5 linked regions of the Ovis aries genome follow. The protein of the gene in region 4 binds, or shares a complex with, the protein of the main gene of each other region. Links are inferred from orthologs where the notes say so. Each region holds a gene or a part of one and is shown on either strand. Other genes may lie near its edges.

Evidence for each region.
Region 1: ACTL6B (region 4) and SMARCB1 share a complex: the UniProt entries of both Homo sapiens proteins name them as parts of the BAF complex. The link is inferred for Ovis aries from reciprocal best matches to the Homo sapiens genes ACTL6B and SMARCB1.
Region 2: ACTL6B (region 4) and SMARCD3 share a complex: the UniProt entries of both Homo sapiens proteins name them as parts of the BAF complex. The link is inferred for Ovis aries from reciprocal best matches to the Homo sapiens genes ACTL6B and SMARCD3.
Region 3: ACTL6B (region 4) and ARID1A share a complex: the UniProt entries of both Homo sapiens proteins name them as parts of the neuron-specific chromatin remodeling complex. The link is inferred for Ovis aries from reciprocal best matches to the Homo sapiens genes ACTL6B and ARID1A.
Region 5: ACTL6B (region 4) and ARID1B share a complex: the UniProt entries of both Homo sapiens proteins name them as parts of the neuron-specific chromatin remodeling complex. The link is inferred for Ovis aries from reciprocal best matches to the Homo sapiens genes ACTL6B and ARID1B.

What each region holds. Positions count from the first base shown.
Region 1 is NC_056070.1:71,294,928-71,299,200, reverse strand, and holds part of SMARCB1 (SWI/SNF-related matrix-associated actin-dependent regulator of chromatin subfamily B member 1), read right to left. Parts: intron 2,737-4,273; coding exon 2,599-2,736; intron 1,936-2,598; coding exon 1,808-1,935; intron 1,626-1,807; coding exon 1,459-1,625; intron 1-1,458.
Region 2 is NC_056057.1:115,430,523-115,434,764, forward strand, and holds the end of SMARCD3 (SWI/SNF-related matrix-associated actin-dependent regulator of chromatin subfamily D member 3), read right to left. Parts: intron 4,235-4,242; coding exon 4,112-4,234; intron 3,868-4,111; coding exon 3,772-3,867; intron 3,573-3,771; coding exon 3,471-3,572; intron 3,230-3,470; coding exon 3,068-3,229; intron 2,623-3,067; exon of another isoform or gene 2,306-2,622; coding exon 2,208-2,305; exon of another isoform or gene 2,053-2,207; coding exon 1,917-2,052; exon of another isoform or gene 1,898-1,916; intron 1,680-1,897; exon of another isoform or gene 1,674-1,679; coding exon 1,551-1,673; exon of another isoform or gene 1,444-1,550; coding exon 1,342-1,443; exon of another isoform or gene 1,166-1,341; coding exon 1,112-1,165; 3' UTR 984-1,111; downstream 1-983. Other genes in the region: CHPF2 (chondroitin sulfate glucuronyltransferase), read left to right, coding at 1-699. UniProt on the Homo sapiens protein: Involved in transcriptional activation and repression of select genes by chromatin remodeling (alteration of DNA-nucleosome topology).
Region 3 is NC_056055.1:240,200,879-240,205,657, forward strand, and holds the start of ARID1A (AT-rich interactive domain-containing protein 1A), read right to left. Parts: upstream 3,195-4,779; 5' UTR 2,432-3,194; coding exon 1,286-2,431; intron 1-1,285. UniProt on the Homo sapiens protein: Involved in transcriptional activation and repression of select genes by chromatin remodeling (alteration of DNA-nucleosome topology).
Region 4 is NC_056077.1:36,353,394-36,358,186, forward strand, and holds the start of ACTL6B (actin-like protein 6B), read left to right. Parts: upstream 1-1,614; 5' UTR 1,615-1,698; coding exon 1,699-1,723; intron 1,724-2,152; coding exon 2,153-2,572; intron 2,573-2,871; coding exon 2,872-2,972; intron 2,973-4,793. UniProt on the Homo sapiens protein: Involved in transcriptional activation and repression of select genes by chromatin remodeling (alteration of DNA-nucleosome topology).
Region 5 is NC_056061.1:81,557,140-81,561,412, reverse strand, and holds part of ARID1B (AT-rich interactive domain-containing protein 1B), read right to left. Parts: intron 3,089-4,273; coding exon 2,879-3,088; intron 11-2,878; coding exon 1-10. UniProt on the Homo sapiens protein: Involved in transcriptional activation and repression of select genes by chromatin remodeling (alteration of DNA-nucleosome topology).

The sequences.
Region 1 (4,273 bases), on a different chromosome or scaffold from region 4:
GGGGGTCAAATGATTGTCAACAAAGATGCCAAGGCCACTCAATGAAGGACAGTCTTTGCAACCAGTGGTTTTGGGAAAAAAGAACATACACACGCGGAAGAATGCAGTGGGACACTTACCTAACCCCACAGACAGAAATTAGCTCAAAATAGATGGGACATACAAACGGAAGAGCTCAATCTATAAAATTTTCAGAAAAACAGAGCAAAGCTTCATGACGCTGGATTTCGCAGTGATTTCTCAGATATGACGTCAAAGGCATAGGTGATAAGCGAAAACATAAACTGGACTTCACCAAAATAAAAAACTTCTATGCATCAAAAGACACTATCGACAACATAAAAAGGCAACCCGTGGAAGAAAACGTCTGCACATCACAGGATCTGGAAACGATCGCTCTCTATAAGATACAGGGAACTGATGAAACAACAAGAAAACAACAAAGCCCGGACTCAAAATGGGAAGGACTGCAGCAGACGCAGAAGATAAGCAGACGGCCAGCAGGGCCCCGCAGCAGCGAGGGAGGCCCACAAAGGTCCGTACCCAAGGCCGTGGGCTTCCAGTGGCCGTGTGGGGATGTGAGGGCTGGACCATAAGGAAAGCTGAGCACCAAAGAATTGATGCTTTTGAACTGTGGTGTTGGAGAACACTCTTGAGAGTCCCTTGGACTGCAAGGAGATCCAACCAGTCCATTCTAAAGGAGACCAGTCCTGAATATTCACTGAAGGACTGATGCTGAAGCTACAATACTTTGTCCACCTGATTCGAAGAACTGACTCATTGGAAAAGACCCTGATGCTGGGAAAGATTGAAGGCAGGAGGAGAAGGGGACGACAGAGGATGAGATGGTTGGATGGCATCACTGACTCAATGGACGTGAGTTTGGGCAAGCTCCGGGAGACGGTGAAGGGCAGGGAGGCCTGGCGTGCCGCAGTCCATGCATCCCCAACAGGACTGAGCCACTGAACAAAAACAAATCAACAGGGAAACGCAAATCGGAACCACAGGGAGATGCTGTTCACCACCAGGCAGCCCTTCTTGAGGGGGGCTCGGGGCAGGTGGCCCCCTCTTTTCTCGTGACGGCCCCCAGGACTGCGGGGGTTGCTGAGACAGCAGGAGGTGTGCCTGGCCCAGCCTGCCCACAACAAGAGTGGCAGTGTGCCCGCCTCGCTGTGCCCTTCCCTGCTCTGCCCGTCAGCTGGGTCACCCCTGGGACCACCCAGCTTCCGCTCCACGCCTGGCAAGGCCGCAGCAGCACCTGGACGCGCCCAGAACGTGATGCCCTCCTCAGAAGTCGGCCCGTGCCCCTCCTGGGACAAGCTGCCTTCCAGACAGCCTTCCAGAGCCCTGCCCCACAACACAGACCCCAGACAAGCTCCTGTCGAGGCCTCCACGCACCTCCGCACCTCGCAAGCCCCGAGGACAAGGCAGGCCTGCTGCGGGTGAGGAGCCGCCTACCTTGATAATGACGCGCTGGTCTGACTGGTCTTCCAGGATGCTGTCCGTGGGGTAGGACTCGATCTGCTGTCTGATGGCGGAGGCAATGGCCGGCACGAATGTCAGTGGGTTCAGATCCAGGTCGTCACAGAGAATCTCTGAGAACATCTCCGGGGTCATCAGCTTCTCTGAAACGAAGACGGAGGTGGGGAACCACTGGTGGACCACGGGGCCTAAGGTCAGGTCGCTCAGCCCTGGCCTCCCCCAGCCCTGCCTCCTCTGCCACCCACCCCTGGGTGACGACAGGACCCCCCCCCCCAACACCAGGCAGACAGAGCTCAGTGCACGCCAGCCAGGGCGGCGGACGGACCATTCATGTTCCAGGTAAAGGCGTCCCGCAGCTTCTGCCCGTCAATCTCCATGTCCAATCGGATGGGGACCAGCACCTCGGGCTGGGACGCATTCTCGTGGATCACAGCTGGGTCGTGGTCGTCGAAGCTGGAAGGGAAGCGGCCGCATGCTCAGCAAAGCGGGCTGTGTCCCTGTGCCCAGGGCTTCCCTCTCTGCACCACTGGTCACTGAGACCTGCCCAGAGAGGACCTGTCCACTAAGGGCTGAGCCGGCAGAGACAGGGCCGGTGGGGGTCCACTCAGGGTGGGAGGGGAGCTGCCAACTTGGGCAGCGGGACAAGCTCAGATGTTCCCCCCAGGAAGAGAGGTTTAAGCCCCAGAGCAGGCAGGATTCTCCCAGCAGCTCTGGGGAAGAAAGGGTATGTCCAGAAGAAGAAACCCTGGAACAAAGGCCGAGGGGCAGGAGGGTCGAGGAGCGGCTGGCGGAGCAGGGAAGGAGGGGTGCTGACCGGGCCGGGGTGGGGGGGACCCTGGGGAGCCTCGGTGGCCAAGTGCCCAGGGCTCCGTGCCTGCAGCCTGGACCCCGAGGGAGCCCCAGAGCACGGAGAGCAAGGCAGCTCCGCGCTCACGCCTGCCCTTTAGAATGGGGAAGAGGGAAGAGACGGGGGCGGTGCGGGGCAAGGAAAACAGGCGTGCCACCCCCCCAGACCCAGGGGTGATAACTGCTTTCCAAGGACGCAGGGGCGCCGCCGACAAGCAAACAGCGGGAAACAGCCCGCAGGCGGGAGGCCACACGGCCGAGGCCCCTCACCAGAGTGGGAAGGTCCGCTTCTTGTCGCGGCCCATGCGGTTCCTGTTGATGGTGGTGGAGCAGGGCACGGCATCTAGGTGGTGCGAGCTGTTGGGCAGGGTGGGTACCCACTGGCTGTTCCTCTTGGCCTTCTGTTCCCTGGGAGACAAGGACACCCATCTGCTCAGCCTATGGGCCAGAAGCTGCCCCTAGCCACCAGGTCGTGGCCAGTGGACGCCCGCTGCGCCCCTGCTGGGCCCAGGCCCCCGTGCGGACCTCTGTGCGCCCAGCTCCGCGGTGGCGATTCTCCAGGCTCCGAGTGGCACCTGCTCGGGGTCACCAGTTTTAGGGGAGGAGAGGGCAGGGGGCCCCAGCCCAGTCCACGAGCTGTCACTCTGTGCTGTATGCTGGGCTGGGCACTCAGGAAAGAAGGTCAGGGTTCACAGGGGAGTGGGGGGCAGATTTCCAGGAGAGCCCCGAGGGCAGCAGAGAGGAGGCTCGGGTCAATGGTTGGGCAGGGGGCCAGGACTGGAGACACAGAGAGGGTCCTGACCTGGGGGGGGCCCTGCCCTCAGCGGGCGGCTGAGAGTCCCCGGGGGTTTGCACACTTTCGATCAGGCTGTTGTTTCAGATGCATAGTCCAGCCTGAGACAACTAACGCCTCTGGCCTCCCGGCCTTCAGGGGTTGGAAGATACTCTAGAAAGCGGGACTCAAAGTAACTCAAGGAACTCGCGTCCCACAGGGGGAGCCCTTCTCTCCAATTTACAGGGGGCGTTTACTATGAGGAAAATAACAAAGGCATTTTGAGCTGAGGCTCCCGGGCTGGGCTGTCCGTCTGCGAGACCGCTCGTCACCCCTGGGCCACGTCCCCGGTGGCCCAGGGAGCAATCAGCCCAGCGACTGCACAACTCACCTCTGCAGCCCTGTCCCACAGCGTGTCACCATCGGTGACGTCCGCTCAGTTTCCCGCTAGGACAGCAGCCTTCCAGGATGGGGGGCGGGGGGAGAGGCGGTGGCCTTTTCACTCCTCTCTGCAGCGGGGGCCCCTCGTACCCCAGCGCCTGGGCCCAGGAGCACCCCTTGGGGTGGGGTGGGGGGAGCCACACACCGAAGGAAGCCAGGACCCCCCCGAATCTCCTGCCCTGCCCTGACACGAGAGACCTGGGGAAACAGGGCCCGGGGCTAACGTGGGCAGGACCAAGAGCTGAGGCGGCGAGACGGGGTCCCCGCCACAGGCCATCTGGCTCAAAGTTTCTACTCCGGGCCTGCAGGCCAAGAGGGAAAAGGTGCCCACTCAGATCAGGTGCCTCCCGTCTCCAGGGGTCGCCTGCGAGGTCGGATCCTTTGTAACTTCCACGGGCGAAGCTGGCACGCTGGGCCCATGTGGGCAGCATGGGCGTGGACCATCACACTTTTCCCCATTGAGTCTCCAGCCAGAGCTGTCACCCAGGTCCCCCGAGGGCAGCTCCCCTCTTGCAGCAGCCTCTTGTATCTAGGCCGAGTCTGCCCGGCTGACCCCTCCTGCCTGATGGCCTCACGTGGACAATGCAAGTCATGTCGCAGCATGCGAGCGGGGCGATGCAGCGCCACGCGGGGTCCGGGCATCTGAGTCCCACCACTCAGCCTCCCTTCCACTGCAGAGAGGTCTGTCCAAGAGCCCCGGGGGGCATCCAGGCCCTGCCTGACCTGGCTAGT
Region 2 (4,242 bases), on a different chromosome or scaffold from region 4:
GCCCCAGACCCGTTCGTCGGGGTGAAGGCGGCAGCGGCTGAGCTGGAACGACGGTACCCTGGGACGAGGCTGGCCTGGCTCGCCGTGCGAGCGGAGGCGCCTTCCCAGGTGCGGCTCATGGACGTGGTCTCCAAGAAGCACCCCGTGGACACGCTCTTCTTCCTCGCCACCGTGTGGACCAGGCCAGGGCCCGAGGTCCTCAACCGCTGCCGCATGAACGCCATCTCCGGCTGGCAGGCCTTCTTCCCGGTCCACTTCCAGGAGTTCAACCCCGCCCTGGCACCACAGAGACCGCCCTCGGGGGCCGGCCCCGACCCCCCTTCCCCTCCGGGTGCGGACCCTGCCCGGGGGGCTGCCGGAGGGGGCAGGTTTGACCGGCAGGCTTCGGCAGAGGGCTGCTTCTACAATGCGGACTACCTGGCTGCCCGAGCCCGGCTGGCCGCCGACCTGGCAGGCCAGGAAGAGGAGGAAGCCCTGGAGGGGCTGGAGGTGATGGATGTTTTCCTCCGGTTCTCAGGGCTCCACCTTTTCCGGGCCGTGGAGCCAGGGCTGGTGCAGAAGTTCTCCCTGCGGGACTGCAGCCCTAGGCTCAGCGAGGAACTCTACCACCGCTGCCGCCTCAGCAACCTGGAGGGGCTGGGGGCCCGTGCGCAGCTGGCCATGGCCCTGTTCGAGCAGGAGCAGGCCAACAGCACCTAGTGTGCTCGGGGCCCCGCACCTCCACACACAGCCCCTGCCGGGCCCCGCCTGGGGAGGCAGGCAAGATGCATGGACAGATGGGAGAGCTCGCCGCTGTGTTTTTTTTTTTTCAATAAGAAAATGTTATTAAAAGTGTCTTCTGCCAAACTGTTTTTAGGTCTAGGAAAAATGGGAGTAAGGAGACTCTGAGGGAGGGGGTGGGGAGCTTCCCGGAGGGGCCCACTGCCCTTTTCCTGCCCCCCTCAATCCTCCTCTCGCCCCAGTTGCCAATGACCACACGGCTGTTATCAGGTAAATGACCTTTAATCCAGCCCCTGCCTCGCCCACAAGGTGTCGGGGGTGACAGCCAGGCCCGAGGGGACGGGCCGGGGCAGGGCCGAGTGGCCCTCTGCGGCACGCTTCCCCCACGCGCCTAGGTGTTGCGCACGACCAGCGACTGCTCCAGCTCCTGCCTGCGCTGCTGGATCTGTAAGGAAAGGAGAGCAGGCACAGGTGACGAGTTGCTGGTGAGTGACGGGACGGGCCCCACCCACCTGGAGGAGCATCTGGGAGCAGGCACGGCCCCACGTGTTGAGGGGGAGGCTGGGGGGTTTCTCTGGGGGTGAGCAGGGAGCCGGAGGGGCGGGGGCTCGGGCCTCACACCTTGCAGTAGAAGTAGCGGCTGACGGCCTCCTGGGACCAAGGCTGGTGGTAGAACTCAGCCCGGCGCTCCTCCTCGGGGTTGCCCGCCACGTCTGTCATCACCTGGGAGGGAGCAACAGGGTCATCCTGAGCCTGGACACCCCCGCATGACATTCACTGTCTCCCCGGCATGCTTGTCTCTACCCAGCGCTCCCCGAGGTTCCCTTCACCTTAAGGTCCCGGCTCTGGGAGCGGAGGAGGTCCTGGATGTAGCCCTTGGGGTCTCTGGAGAAGCTCAGCATGAAGTCCCTCTGGATCTTGAGCTGGTTAATAGACTCAATCGTCTCGTGGATCTGCAGGTAGAAAGACACGTGCTCTCGCCTGCCCAGGCTGAGGTGGGAGAGGCGGGGAGGGGGCGTGGCAGGGGGCTCTCGGCTGTCCCCTGGAAGGGCAGTCCCCGGGAAGGGGGCTCGGGCGGAGCTCCAGGTCCCAAGGGCAGGGCCCTCCCGTCCTCTCCCACGTCCTTGTCCTGCTGTGTCTGTGCGTTTGTCACCGTTGGGTCCCCATCCTGTTGCAGCGCTGGGCTCCAGCCCCACCTTACTGTCCAGAGCGCTGATCTCCTGCTGGTTGGCCGTGGACAGCAGGAAGCTGCTCATCTGCCCCTTCAGGGGCTCCTCCACCTCCACGTCAATGTCATAGCACGCCGTCTTCTTCTGGTCCGACGGGTCCACGCTGCCAGGGAAGGCCAGCCCTTGTGTCCATGCTGCCCCGATGGAGGCCAAGGGCCTCCGAGGCCTGATGTGGGGGGTGGGCAGAGGGAGGGATGGGGCGGCGGGACCACCATAGTGACTCCCAGCTCTGAGAAGCAGGGATGGGGGGGGCCTCACCTGATGACATGGTTGATGACAATCGGGTCAGGGGGCAGCAGAAGGGCTGTGAGGCGCTGGGGAATCTCAGAAAACTTCAGCCGGGGACAGTCAAAAATCTGCAGTAGGAGAAAAGAGGTTCCCTGCTCTGCACTCAAAAGAGCCTTCATTCTCAAAAGGCCCCCCAAGCAGCCAGCTCTCAATGAGGAGGCGGGGGCCGGCCTGGGCCTGAGGCCTGCTTCCTCCGCCCACGGCGCAACCCCGAGCCGCTCAACTTCACAGTCGGCCTCAGTCTCTCCATCTCTGGGAGCCGAAGGCAGGGGCACTGATCTCAGGGGGCTTGTTAGAATTAAATGCGTCAGTTACACACGAAGTGCCTGAAGCAGCGCCTGGCATGTGGTGAGTGCTCAATAAACACTGACTGTTGTTTTCACCACTCAAGGCTACCTGTGGTATTTATTTTAAAGTTATATTAATAATAACCTCTAGTTTGGCAGTATCACTTCCACAGCAGTTTGATTCTCCTAACTGCCCAGTGGGTAAGACGGGACAGGCGTGGCGAAGATAAGGAACAAGGCTGCAAACAGCTAAATGACGGACCCAGTGACTGGCTCCAGGGCCAGAACCTGGGGGCCCTAGCTCCAGGTGCCAAGAACATGTTCCCCAGAGCCACTAGCTTCCTGGGGTTCCCAATCGGCCTCACCTGGGGGCTGGGGGTGCTGAGACAGGCGGGCTGCAGCACAGGGCGGTGTGACAGAGCCCAGATGGGAACCCCGGTCTCCGGCTTGAGATCATTCCCGACGGAGTCAAGGAGGCAGGGTGGTGGTCCCGAGCAGAGGCCCTTCCCCTCCCCGTGGCCCCAGGCTCAGGGGAGAGGGTACCTGCTGGAAATACTTGTCGCCGTTGATGTACTCCTTGTCGTGGGAGTCCTGCAGCCGGTTGGTCTTCACGTATTGCCACAGGGCCTGGACGATGGCCGAGCGGCTCTGCGTGTGCAAGCCCAGCAGCCGGGCCAGGCGGGGATCCAGTTTGAACTGGGGAGGCTGAGCCAAGGAGGCCATGAGAAAATGAGACAAAAAGAGAGCGGGAGGGGCTAGGGACTCAGGACTCGGGGGCTGCGGGGCCTAGGCTCCTTGGAAACAAGCTTCTGGAGCAGGCAGGGTGGAGGGGAGAACGGGGTCTCTCAGGGCATACAGCTTGCAAGCCATGACCCACCCCAGCTAGGAGAAGGGTACAGGAGGCGGGATGCTGGGGGGAGCGGTGTCTGGGAGTGAGGGCACGCACCTGGTAGTCCAGCATGAGGAGCAGCGTGCAACGCACACTCAGGTCCCCCGGCCTCTTCACCTGGAACCCATCCGTCTCCTGAGTGGTGGGTGTCCGGTGCCACTGTCCAGGGGTAGGAGCTGAGTCACCTCACAGGCCCGTCTGAGCTGGTGGGGCCTTGGAGCTCTGGGTGCAGGACTGGGGGCCTGGCGGAGGGGGTCCCCGACCCAGGTCTACACCACGAACGGGACTGCATTCTAGGTTCTTTAGGACAGTGGCCTGTGGCCAGTTCGAGGGCAGGAGGGGTCTGGGCCTTTCTTACCTCCACGAGGTGGTTGTCAGGGCCATAAAGGTCTTTGTCCAGCTCAATGACCAAGCTCTTGAAGAAGGAAGAGAACTTCCGCTTCTGCTTGCTGGGCTGTGGGAGAGGCACGGACCGTGGGCGCGGAACAGGGCCCACGGTGGCAGAGTGAGTTGGGAGCGGGTGGGGGCTGGCCGGGTAGGGCCACACAGTCAGAAGCAGGCCTGGGCACGTCTCTCTGGACCACCCTCCCGCAGCCAGGGCTGACTTCCCCAGCCCTCGGTGTACACATCCAGTACCGGCCTCAGCTCAGCCCCATACCCACCCCAGGACACCTGGAGAGACCTGGGCCAGGACGTACGTCATCCAGGAGCTTCCCCTCCACCCGCAGCTCCCAGGAGGCGATGCTGCCGTCAGAATCCTCGGCATCGGGCTTCGCAGGGTTAAAAGTATTGGAGATATAAAGACGCAGCTTGCGCTTTTGCTGTAGAG
Region 3 (4,779 bases), on a different chromosome or scaffold from region 4:
TAAAGATCCCACATTTGCCACTCAATAAAAAGCTCAGTAAAATAATTTCAATTCTGCAAAGCGAACAGGGTCAAAATTACTCAAGACAAACGCATCTTCAGAGCCATCAAAGAAGTCATTTATACCATCAGGAAAGTCACAAAACCAAAACAAACAGCAAACCCATTGTAGAGAAAAACTCAGCTACTGTTCGGACAACACAGAATCTATTTCAGGCTGCATAAAACATAACAAGCAAAATAAATCCAAGGTACAAGCAAAATCCCACTGCCTCCTCTTTTGTTCCGGGCACAATGTAACAAGGGCAGCCTGTCTGGGGCTCTGCTCCTGCTGATACAGTATTGCTGCTTAAATCTCCCTCCTCAAGGTCACAGCCAATTTCAGCTCTGGAATAAAAGGCAGATAGTGGCAGCGATGGTTTGGGTTATCACTGGCAGAAAAGCAGAGTGTAAAAGTTTATGAGCTCATCAGGATTGTTGTACCATTACATCAGAGGCAATTATAAATGGCCAAGAGCAGGAGATGGGGAGCCAATCAGATCACAGATAGGATGTCAACCTAAGACCAACTGTCTCCTGGCTTTGACAGAAGGATTTTACCTCCATAATTCAAATCCCAAACCAAAGCAATCTGCACTTACTACTCCAATCACTCAGCTGTTTACCAGCACTTCCAGGGAGAAGCCCAGGCCACTGGGCCGACGGAGACTAAGACAGGAGACGACCTGGGCTGCCCAGGGTGAACCGAAGCCGGGCTCTAGCTGCTCCCAAGCAGGCCCCTGCCCTCCCTCGAGGTCCCCCCGAGCCCGAGGGGCCCCCTCCTTGAAAGCACAGATGGGGACCGGCCTAGAGGAAGGTAGGGAGGGCAGAGAGGAGCGGCAGGTGAGCAAAGAACTGTTCACTCAACTCCCGACCTCCGAGGGCTGCCTACACCCCTAACCTGAGCCCCCAACACCCCCTCACCCCGGGCCGGGCCCTTTTCCCGCACACCCGGCTCCGCACCCCTCTGAAGACCCCCCGGAGCTGGAAGGGACCCGGGGAGGAGGAGGAGGGGAGCAGACACCTCAAGGAAAGCCCCACACAAAGGCTGAAGGAGGGAAAGAGAGGAAGGCAGACGGGCAGCCATTTTAAGAGAGAAAGAGCGAGACAATGGCAGCTCCCCAGCAGTGGGGGCCCCAGACTGGGGGTAGCCCACGGCCGTGGCCCGCTCCCCGCCGCCGCCATCCACTCCCAGGACCCCCCCGCCCCACTCGCCACAGCCCCCCCTACCCCACCAGCCGTGTTACCTGCGGGGTCCGGGCGAGCGGCTGCCCCCCGCCGCCGCTGCTCCCAGGGCTCATGGGCGCGTGGTGGCTCCTTTGTTGGGCCCCTCCCGAGGCGGCCGCGGCCGCCGCCGCCGCAGCAGCAGCAGCCCCCCAGCACTGAGAGGCCATGTCCGCCGGGCCCTTGCCGGCGCCCCCGTCCTGGGGCCCGCCGCCGTAGTCGCCCCCGGGGTAGCCCTGGTAGCCCCGGGCCGAGCTGGGCGACGTGAGCAGTTGGTTGAGGGTGGGGGTGGCGGTGGGCTGGGGGGTTCCCCCTGCGGCCGCTGAGGGGCCGCCTCCCCCCATGGCCCCGAAGCGCTGCTGAGCGAAGGACGAAGACGACGAGGAGGCGGAGGCGCTGGAGGAGGGAGGCGGCTTGGAGCCGGCGGCCGCCGCCGCCGCCGCGCCGGAGCCCGGAGTGCCACCTCTCGGGGAGCTCAGCGCGTAGGCCTGGGGGGGCGGGGGGTAGGCGCTGCGGTTGGGGTAGTAGGAGTTGTACTGGTGGTTGGGGAAGCCGTGGTCGTGCGAGTTCTGCTGGGGCCCCGCGTAGGGCTCCAGGCCCCCGCCGCCGCCGCCGCTCTGCAGCGCTGCCAGGCCAGGGCTTTGTTGTCCGCCATGTTGTTGGTGGAAGACGGCGGCCGCGGCGGCGGCGACGGCAGACGGGCTCCGGCCGTAGGGTTGCCCGAAGCCGTAGGCTGGGGGCGGCAAGGCGGCCGCGGCTGAGTGAGGAGGCGCCCCCACCCCGTCGCTGCTGCCGCCGCCACCGCCGCCGGGCGGCTCCGTGAGGTTATTGTTCAGGGCGGGCCTAGGGCCCGCGTTCCCGTTCGAGTTCTTCAGGTCCGGCTCCGCGCCGGGCCCGCCGGCTCCGCCGCCGCCGCCACCCCCATTGCTCTCGGCCCCGTCCTGCAGCTCCTTTCCCAGTGGCTGCGGCGGCCCCACGGCGGGGCCCTCGCTTTCCTGCCCGGCGGCTGCCTTCATTTCCCCGCGCTCCGCCGCGACCGCCGCCGCCGCCTCGCCCCCCGCCTCCTCCCGCTGCTGCTGCTGCTGCTGCTCCGCTTTCTTCAGCTCCGAGGGCGGCGGCGGCGGATTGCCCAGGCTGCTGGCGGCGGCGGGGGCGACCTGCGCGGCCATGATCCCCGCTGTCTCGTCCGCGGAGAGACCCGGCCCTGTCTTCGTCTTCTCTCACCCCCCTCCCACCCCACCCCGCCCCGGGGCCGAGTCCCCCCGGGCTTCCCTCCCCACCCGCCCGGGCGGGCCTCGCGGGGCTCCGCGGCTTTTGCGCTGCGCTCGCTCGCTCGCTCGCTCGCTCGCTCCTCTCCCCCCCGCCCCGCCGGCTCAGGCTCCGGGCTGGCGGCGGCGGCGGAGGAGGAGGAGGCGGCGGCGGCGGCCGAGGCGCCGGCGGCTCAGCTGCTCCCGGCTCTGTAAGCTCGGGACCCGGCTCTCCCGGCTCATTCCCCCCCAAGCCCTTGCCTGGGAATGAGGGGGGCGGTGGAGGCTCCGCTCCCCAGGGCCTGGCCCCGCTGTGACTCTCCGCTTTCTGCTGCCGGAGAAAGGAGGGAGGGAGGGAGGGGAGGGAGGGAGGCGAGGGGGAGGGGGCGGGGAGGGAGGGAGGGAGCGGGGGGAGGGGGACCCGGGACGGGCGGGCTGGAGGGCGCGCGGCAGCAGCCCGGGCGCCGGCAGGCAGAGTCGGAGCGTGGGCCGGGCCGGGCGCCCTGCCTCCCCTCCCCGGCCGCGGCGCCGGGCCGAGGCTGCTGCGCGGCGGCGAGCGGGCGAGCGGGCGGGCGGCCGGACTGAGCGGCTAGAGCGCCCCACTCTCCTCCGAGTCCCCCTCACTCCGACACGAGGCTCAGCACTGCCATTTTACCCAGCGCCGTCGCGGCCGCCTGGCAAACCCGGAACGGAGCGCGGAGCGGGGCGCAGGCCGTGGAACGGACTCGCTCCCTTCCCCTCACAAAGGAGGAGGGGAGAGAACCAGCCGCGGCGGCGGCGGCGGCGGCGGCAAGCGCTCTGCCGCTCTCGCTCGGCAGCGCCGCCGCCGAAGGCTTCGGGGAAAACCCGGCCCGGAGCTCGCGCCTCTCCGGAGCCTGCGCGCCGCCTCCCTCCTGGCCTCCCTATCCAGGTCGGTCCCCTTCGCGCCGCGGGCAGCGTGAACTTTACTCGCGGCTGCAAAATTGGCCTGAGCCCGAGACCGCGGCCGCCTCGGCCCAGGCCTGACCCCCCCTGGCAGCGGGCCTGGTCTCTTGGCCGCTACTTAGCATCTCCGCGGCACTTTTCCTTCTTCAAAGCCTTTTGCAGACCTGCTCCAAAGACCCAGCTGAGCTTTACGTTGTATCCTCTTTGCAAGCTGCATGGAATGACAGATCATTGTTTCAGACTTTCCGTTTTCCCACTCTCTGCCCTCATTAGCCGGTCCTCACAGGCCCTGGGGGCACGAAGTTCCTGATCCCCATTTTACAGACTCATAAGATAGCGAAGGGGACCGGCCTATCACTTAGTCTATCACTTACAAAGACAAGGGCAGTGGAGGGTGACTTTAAAAAGTAGCAGAGTCCCCAGTGCTGCCCCTGTCTACTTAGCGTTAGAAATAATAGTAATAAAAAGAAAAGTGGTGCCATATACAACAGTGGGATCAGAACATCAGAATGGGTTTGAGATTCAAGCTGGTCATCTCAACCGATATAAAATGGTCACCCCTGAAGATATTTTGGGGACATATGACCGCCTTCTTGGAGGAAGACACAAGCCCCACCTTTGCCCACAATGACCAAGGTCCCGTCTCCAAAGACAGTACCTGTAAGACTGTAACAGACCACAGAAGAGACTCCAGGGACTGGTGGAACCTGAGTGTTCAAAGGAACCTCTGCCGAAGAGGGATGACCAAGTAGAGGGAACCGTTTTCTCCTTAAAAAGAGAGAAAAGGTGCAGTCTAACACCTCACTCAGAAAACAGATGCAGCCTAAATTTGTTTTTCTATCCTTCATTGTAAGGAATCATTAAAGTTTACTGTTACATTCTAAGAGATGCTGAATGGGAGATGCTGAGTGAACTGGAGGTATACACAGAAAATTCTAGATTCACAGGCTCCACCACATCTCAGCAGCAGCCTTGTCCTCTGACTGACTTAGAATGCTCTGACATGACAGGCTACACAGGCCAGAAGGGATACCGGCTTCTCACGAAGCCCAGGGCTGCCTTGAGAGATGCTAGGTCAGCTAGTCATTAGACACCAGGGTTTCATCCCCACTTAAATATTGTAAATAGATGCTTCATGGCCACAGAACCATTACCTTAGAATTTCCAGATTCCGCAGGCCCCTGGAGGTTTTTTGGCTGTGCCACTCACTGGCCACTGAATAATTCCCCAAACCTGAACTCATTCTTAACCCCCAGAAAACCTAATATCATCTTAAACTAAAAAGGCACAAACTTCTTAAGACTCTAAGAGTGGTGTTTTCTTCGCCTCAAGCCAAGAACCAAACC
Region 4 (4,793 bases):
GAATAGTGGCAATTGACAAGATGAATTTAAAGGGGAAGTGAAGCAGCATCATTCAATGACAACCAAAAGGAGAGGTGCAGGCCATGAATAGGATCACTTCTCATCCAGTGTCTTCCTTTAATTCTCACTTCAGCATTTTGAAAGATGAAGAAATGAGGCACTGAGAGAGAGGTTAAGTAAGGGGTTGTTCCAGTTCATCCAGACCACAGTTTATAGAGGCGGATGACTGACCCTAGGCTCACTTTGGACTATTTCAGTTTCCCAGCTCCTGAGTCAGCTCTCTCCTACAGCTCACCCCTCCCACCGAAGCCTCCAGTAGTGGGAGCCAGGTCCGGACTCAGAACAAACCCTGGGAATGTGAAATGCCACTGTCACCAGTGGATAACGGATGAGCCAGTTCAAACCATCTGTCCTCTGGCTGAGGAAGGGTGGCGCCCTTACAGAGTGAGTACCTGGTAACTAGAGAACTTCAGGGGCATTCAGTCACCACACAGAATCCTCTTCCTCTGCTATTGCTGGCCTTAATGCTCCACTCACCCCTAAACAAGTAGGTGGGAGTGCTCCCAACACAAGCATGTATTCATATGCACATATGTACACACAGATGCATGTGCACAAGAGCTTCCTTGGTAGCTCTGGTGGTAAAGAATCTGCCTGCAATGCAGGGGACCCAGGTTTAATCCCTGGGTCCGGAAGATCCCCTGGAGAAGGGAATGGCAACCCACTCCAGTATTCTTGCCTGGAGAATCCCATGGACAGAGGAACCTAGAGGGCTACAGTCCATGGAGCCACAAAGAGTTGGACATGACTGAGAATGGCCAACAACACATGCATGTGCTCACATATGCTGACACACTCAAACACAAACATACAGACACACACCTACACACATGCTCACATAAGAGTCTCTCAGCTGAGCCAGGCTGTCAGAACTGCTCCTTCCCCTTCTCTGTCAAAACTGCTGTGGAGGTGGCCTCATACTGGAAGCCCAGAAGGACTTAGTAGCCTACTAGGGGAAAACGTACTTGCTTGATAAATAACTCCTGAGAAAAACAGATGAAAGAGAGGTGAATGTTAGCTGAGAGCCACGTGTGTACATGTGTGTATGTATGAGGCCAACAGGGACCAGCTAGGAGAAGAGGGGCCATCAGAAAGACAAGGATGGAAAGAAACAGGGAGAAAATGGAGACACACCCCTCCCGTACCTCTCCCTCCCTTCTTCCCTTCCCTTGTCTCCCCGAGGTTTCATTCAGTCCTGGGTAAGGCAGAACCTTGCTCAGGAGCCTGAGAATGGCCACGTCTCCAAGAGTATGGCGCCCTCTCCTAGATCTCATTTTTAAAAGTAAGGGAGCAAGGGCGCCTTCAATCAGCCCGCAGGTCTTCGAATGGACAAGGAATCTCTTGTGTAGTCCTGCTCTCTTCCAGCCTGTCCCTTAGAACCACCCTCCAGGTCTTCGCTCCCCTCAATCCCCTCCCCGCCACCTAAGGTTGAGGTGGCTGGCCCTTTAAAGCAGCGGCCCCCGGCCGGGTTATTGTCTCGCCTCTCAGCCAATCGGCGGCGCCGTTGGGGGCGGGGGACCTGGCCTCCCGATTGGCCGTCCCGAGCCCCGCCCCGCCCGGGATCCCGGGAGCTGTCCGGCGGCCTCGGTGCTGATCCTGCCGCCGCCCACGGGCCGCGAGCAGCGCTGAGAGGGCACTATGAGCGGGGGCGTCTACGGCGGAGGTGAGCGAGCCTCGGACTTCGGGATCTCCAGCCTGGCGCGGCCTCGCCCGAATCCCAGCGCCCCGAACCCATGCAACCCAAGCTCTGGGCACCCTGGGGCCTGTCACCTCTGCGCTCGAGCGGTTCCAGCCCCGGGTTTGGGTCCTGCATCATTCCAACCTTCGACCCTCCTCGGAATGCTTGCGCGTACCCGGCCCAACCTCTCCACCATTCAACCCGTCTCCGCCCGGCCTCTAGCCAGGCAAGGAACAGGGCCACTGGGCAGAAAGGGACTTCGGAGTCTTGATCTCCCACTCCCAGGACCCTGAACTCCTGGCCGAGCTCCCATCTGACCCTTCCGGGTTGAAGGTGGCTCTGCCGGGATCTCCTCTCGGAGCAATCCATGGAGAGTTTGGGAGATAACCCCTCACAAGTTTGTCTCCCGCACAGATGAGGTGGGGGCGCTGGTCTTTGACATTGGCTCCTTCTCAGTCCGCGCTGGGTACGCTGGGGAGGACTGCCCCAAGGTGAGCCTTCCAGCCCTCTGCCCAAATCCTAGGGCTCCCCTCCAGGCTTCCCAGTCATCCAGGGCTCTCAGCGCCCAGAGAAAAGCTCTGATGAGCGGGAATGTGGGAGTAAACCCAGGGGGTGGGCTGAGGGCCCTGCAAGATATGGCTTTCTCTCCTGTCCATGCCCCGCTCCAGGCTGACTTCCCCACCACGGTGGGGCTGCTGGCCGCGGAGGAGGGGGGCGGGCTGGAGTTGGAGGGGGAGAAAGAGAAGAAAGGGAAAATCTTTCACATCGACACCAACGCCCTCCACGTGCCTCGAGATGGAGCAGAAGTCATGTCTCCCCTCAAGAATGGCATGAGTATGGGGCCCCCACTACCGGCTCCTGACACAGACCCAGAACCCACACCCCACAACCCGGGGCACAGGACCCCACATTCACGGAGTAGTCCTTGCAGCTGCCCAAGTCCCAGGGATGCCCTCACTACTTCCCAAAGCTGCCTGGTTTCTCACAAGGGTCCACCAGATTCCTGGGAAAGGGGGGATTTCTGCTGGACGTTGTCTCACTTCCCCTCCCCTGGACTTGGCTTCCCTCCTTCCTTTCTGTTTCTGGACCCCTGCCTGCCCACCCTCATCTCTCCACTGATGTCCTGGCCCCAGTTGAGGACTGGGAGTGCTTCCGTGCAATCCTGGATCACACCTACAGCAAGCATGTCAAGTCTGAGCCAAACCTGCACCCAGTGCTCATGTCAGAGGCCCCGGTAAGTGCATAGTCCAGTCCCTAGTACAGCCCTGGAGTGGGCCATTCACCTCTCCTCAAGCCACTCCTCTCCTCAAGAGGAGTGATTACTCCTCTTTCTTTGCTTTTCAAACTTTCCTTCCAACTCTGTCAAGTTCAACCACTTTCCTTCCTCCCTGGGTTAGTCTCCATGCCTCCTTCTCTTCTGCTCTCTCCACTTGCCTTTCTGCCAGTCATCCTTACACGATGCCCCACCCCCCAAGTCCCCGTGTGACCTTTTAACTGAAATTTTTGGTCAATGTTATATACACCTATATAGAATCAATTTTATTTATAAACTGCCATGCATAGCCTCTTCCTTCTATTATCCCTTTTCCAGAGACAATTGCTTTTCTCTCTTTTAGCTTTTATTTTGCCATTACCTTTTATATCTCTAAATATCATAAATCACTGACTGTGAATTTTTCTAGCTCTAGGTATTATCTATGGGTTTCCCACTATAGAAAATGAGCGCTTAGCTCTCTTTCCTCCCCAACCCACACCATACACATTTTTTTCTTATTTGAAGTACTGTTGCAGTTTAGGGTTTTGGGGTTTTTTTTTTTAAGATTCAGTATTTATACTCTTATTATTATATATGCTAATCAGGCCTGAGACAGGCAATAAACTATTTATTTTCCTCTCTTGTGCAATTATTTGTTTTCTCTAGCACTGAAAATTTTCTTTGTTTCTGTTTTTCTTCATTTTCTATCTACTTAGTAATGTGACCTGAAATTATTCATCAGTTATCTTTATCTTTCCTCAAGACATTAATTGCTTTAGGTGTTCTATCAATTTCATCTCCAAGAAATCTCTCCGGGAGCCTACCAACCTGCTCTGCTGTAGACTAGTTAGCTTCTCTGCAGAAGATGTAGCTATAATCCTGACATCTCCCTTCACCTTCATCTTAAGAAAACACTGCACCTCTCTCCTGTATTACAAGTCCTGTTTCCAGTGGATCATGACTCTTTTCTTGATTTTTTCCCCCTTGTTTTCATGGAGCACATCTTCCAGTAATTGCTTTAGAAAGGACATAAGAAGTAACATTTTTGAGACTTTGCGTGTCTAACCTTGGATGTATAGTTTAGCTAGGTATAACACTCCAGGTTGGAAATAATTTTTCTTTGGAATTTTTTATTAAAAAATTATTTACTTGGCTGTGCTAGGTCTTAGTTGTGCCACATGGAATCTTCAGTCTTTGTTGTGACATGCATTTACCAGAGATTGAACCCAGGCCCCCTGCATTGGGAGTGCAGAGTCTTAGCCACTGGACCACCAGGGAAATCCCTTTTTATGGAATCTTGAAGGTACTTCTTCAATTCTTCCAACATCTACTGTTGCCATTAAGAAAGGCAAGGTCATTTACTTCCTGATCCTTTGATGTAAATTATTTTTGTTTCTGACAGTTTATAAAATTTTCACTTTGTCCTCAGTGTTTTACAGTTTCACAATATTATATTGGTTTATTTTTTTTTCATGGCTCTGGACACTCAATGTGTCTCTTTAATTTGGACACTTATGTCTTTCAATTCAATTAAAAATTTAATTACTTATTTGCTGATTTATTTCTTTCAATTTTCTCTGTTCTCTCTTAGGAAATCCTATTATTTGAATTTTATACGTCCTAAACTGGTCTTCTTCTAATGTTTTCATCTTTTATATTTTATGTATCTCTTTCTTCTAATTTCCAAGATATTCCCTTAATTTCTTTTTCAACTCTTCTATAAAGCTTTTAATTTCTGCTCCTCTATTTTTATTTTCCAGGAGCTCTTTCCTGTCCCATGAATGTTACTTTTTACTCATC
Region 5 (4,273 bases), on a different chromosome or scaffold from region 4:
TTTTATTAACCTAGCCAAAAAAAAAAAAAAAAAAAAAGGCAGGATCACTGGTTTGCAGCAAAGTGGCTTATTTAAAGCCAGGAAACAAAAAAAAGCATTTAATATCTTGGATACTTTTATTATTTTTCATTTGCCTCTTTTAACTAATGTTCATTACTCCCACTCAGTAGTGCCTAGACAGCATTTACAGTTATAAAACCATTAAGGAACCTGCTGATAGCTACATAAAAAGCTTTGCTCACGGAGATTCTTCTGCCCGGTGCATCTTCTAATGCCTCCGAGTCTGCCAGAGCGGGTGCAGCCCGGAGCCGGCGATTTATCTCTGAGCAAAGGTGCTCTTGCTCACCCCCATCTCACTCTTATTTTTTTTATAAAAGGGTGTCTAAAAACTAATTTAAAAAGCAATAACAGAATTATTTTGCAATTTAAGTATCTGAGCCTTAATAAGAAAAACAATGTCTCCTTCCAACAGCCACAAGCTTCCAGAAAGATGAGCCTCATAATTTCTGTTCATGCCCAGTCTTTCACGTGAGGCTTTCTTGTAGTGTTGGGTGAAGGAGGCCCCAACCAAATGAGCCCAACCTAACAGTCCAGCAGAAGTCATCAACCCTGTCTGAGCTGTGGAGCCACCAGCTAGCTGACATGGCAGCACCAGTGGGCTTCGGAAGGGGCACATAGGACCATCCAGTGTTCCCACTTGCACTCAGGCTGGAGGGAATACAACTGCAAAAAGAGAAGAAAGGAAGGGAATCCTCAAATGTTATATAAAATTTGAGCAATTGGTTTAACTTTCTGATTCCCAATGGGAACAGGTCACACGAGGCTGACACACGAAGGAAACATGAAGGCCTGCAAATGCTTGGGGAATATTTTGCCTTTAGATGTGTCCTGTATTAAGTAGCATGAGTTAAAGGGACAGTGAGTTTGAATGAAATGTTCAATTTTTGGATTCAAACTTCCTCACAAAGCTCTTTATGTCCATTTACTTAGTATTAAATGGTGCGTGAGAAACCAGAGAATACTCTCGAGAATGCTTAGTGCCATTTTTGGTACTGAATGCCAGGCTGCAACGGGCAGGCCTGTGACTGCTTCTGAAATCACAGGCAGAGTGCTGCCTGGGACACCCTGAAAAGCAAGGCTTTTAGCTGATCCCTCTGGGGCTGCAGCACCTGTTTGAACCACATCTGATGGGGTGTGAGTGACAATGCGGCCAAGGCCTCACCGCTGGGAATCACTACTACATTCAAGCAACTTCATCAGCTAAGACCCAACCTGGGAGTCCACTTGGCTGAGTGAGGTGTCCTGATGGTTCCTTGCTTCTGTGAGCTGGGTGAAACCCTTCGCTGGCCATCACCCACACCTGGTCACACCTGGTCTGCATCCTGTGACCCCATCTGATTACGCCTTCTGGAGTCAAGCTCTAATTGCTTTACTTGGAGGCCTCAGTCTCGGGTAGGAGGAGGCTCCTCAGGGAGGGCTGAGAACAAAAGCCTCTCCTGCAAGCCCTGCAGCCCAGATACCAGGGTGGGTCCTCAGTGATACCTGTGCATCAGCTGACCTACCTTTGGATAGTGAGGCCTGGAACACCTGAGGCCCGGAGCAGCTCCTTTCACTAGTCTGGGAAGGAGCCCAGGAACTGACAGGTTTTAAATGCTCCCAGGTGCTGCTAATGAACAGCTAGGTCGGAGAACCAAGGGCAGATAAAGGGCATGCGCTTCGCAATCAAACAAACTTGGCCCCACCACCTACCCTGAGAGTCCCTGGGCCACAACATTCTTGTACAGTCGGCCTTCCCTGTTCCCTGGTTCTGTATTTCTGAATTCAACGAATTGTGAATTGAAAGTACTGAAAAAGAAAAAAAAAGCCCCCCCCCCCACCTCGCCCAAAAGAAAGTTCCAAAAAGCAAAACTTGAACTTGTACCAGCAACTGTTTACATAGCATTACACTGTATTGGGTATTATAAGTAACTGAGAGATGATCTGAAGTATATGGGAGGTGGTGTGTAGGTTCCAGAAATAAAGAGGCTCGAGCTCACAGGGTTTCAGTATTTGTGGGGATCCTGGAACCAGTGCTCTGTGGACCCCAGGGGACGACTGTACTTCAATCTGTTACATCTCTTCTTCAGGGCTGATGACTCTGCATTCCATGGGTGTTGAGAGAGAAGTGACAAGAAAAAGGATGGTGCCCAGGATGCGGCAGGCACTCACCCTTGAAGGCCCTTTTCTCCATGCTACTTCGGGATATGGACACACAAACCCTTCCCAGGGCTAAAAACAGGGCTGTGACAGGGAAAGGAGAATGCGGCCCCTAGGGTACAGAATGAAGGGGCAAGTGCAGGAGAGGCATCTGCACTACCCCATAGGAGTGCCTCCGGGCACTCTGCACCTGGGTGCCCCCAGCTGTGGGAAAGGACAGCATTGCCCCTCCTGTCATCCAGGTACAGCGGACATGGTTGTAGAAGGATGACAGTTTTCTTGTTAACTTGCTCTGGATAGAGGGAAACAGTGAATTTGATTTATATCTGATCCAGACAATTTAGTCATTTGCAAAACATTTCTGTTTACTATGAAATTCTAACACAGATTCCACAGAATTCTAGAGCTGTTAGGGACCCTAAAGCAAAACCTAGCTCAAATGTCTCATTTTACCGTTGAGGATTGAGTCCACATAAATGACCTACTGAAGTCACTCTGCGAATGGGTGGCAGATCGAGGTCCCTGACCCCAGGGCAGCCCCCGCCCCCGACCTGCCACACGTGAACATGGATCCAGTGAAGTGACCTTCCCAGAGGCTCAGCTTTTTCTTTGTGAGAAAAAAAAATTCAAGTTTGCATATTCAAAGCTCATCCATAGCATCTCCTCATTCATCTTTTCTCACCTGTGCCAAACCTCCGATCTCTTTGACGCAGACATAGAGTCGGAACAGGTCCAAGGGCTTCTTGCCCACCGCAGGCAGACTTGAGACCGGGGAGCCCCTCTCCTCCATGAAGGTGAGGTAGCGGTCCACCCACAGCTTCCTCTCTGGCTCATTCCCCAGCTCATACACCTTTGTGATCTTTTCCCCAGTGGTGGTGGATGAGCTGGACTTCTAGAGCCCAGGGTAGCATTTGGAGATGGGGCATAAGTGGGCCAAGGGAAATGGAAGAAGGCGAGAAAAAAAGTAATGAGCTACCAAATACAAGAAGAGAAGAAATTTTAAAACTACTGCTATCACACAACAATCAGGAATGAAGGCTACTAGTTCAGGCACAAAGTATACATTTGCTTAATTAAAAATTTACTTTAACTAAAGGGCCCAAACTCCCCCTTTTATATACTTGAAAAACAAAAACAGAATAAAAATCTTTTTTACTTTATCAATATAAGCGTTGAATCCCAGAAGGCAAGACTCCAATGACCTCTCATGTCATTTTTTCTTTTTTTTTCAAAAAGGGTACAAGTTCATTGAATGGCTACACTGAGTTTAAAGTTCCAACTGTAATATTATAGAGCCCCCCTCCTCATTACATAGATGCCTACATTTCCTTGTCAAAATATAAATGACCAATGTATGGCTTTATTAAAACTAAATCATATGGAGGTAGAGCACATACATGATGTGTGTTGAAAAATACAAGGTTGGTCACACGTCATTGGACCCAGCGGTGTGTGCACTTTACATTTGAGAGCCTTCTAAATTAATGGCCAGTTACTAGCATTCTCTCAGAATGATCCGCTTTCTTGACTTAAGATTTCTTGAACTTTTCTGCCAAGGTAATTTTAATAGATTTCTTAAGCAAACATGTGTTCATCACAAACACATGTGCTATTTCATACTCCCAGATTTACGAACATTTACTTTTATGCACCCATTTGGTTTATACTGATGTTCTAATTCTTGGTATTTCATTTTTCTAATTTTATATTTGATACTAAAATGTCAGAAGTGGCTGTTTCTGCACACCTGAAGCTCACCCTCTGGATTATGTGATCTGGGAAGGTAATACTTTTTGTCCTAAACAGCCCAGCTGTATATTTTCCCTTTCTTTTATGTCTCTGTATTTGTAACAATATTTGTGTACTTGTAATATCTGCAACTATGGGATTCTTGTGCAAAATCACTTGTAAATTCTCAATTAAATATTTCCTTGGAATAATAATATATTTCATTTAGTCATGTTTATTTACTGGGTTATCATTTGAAATGTATAGTATTATGTTAAATGAATTTTTTTAAACTCTTTTTTGTTATATTTAGCTCAACATAATTTTAAACATGTGACCTGAAATGGGG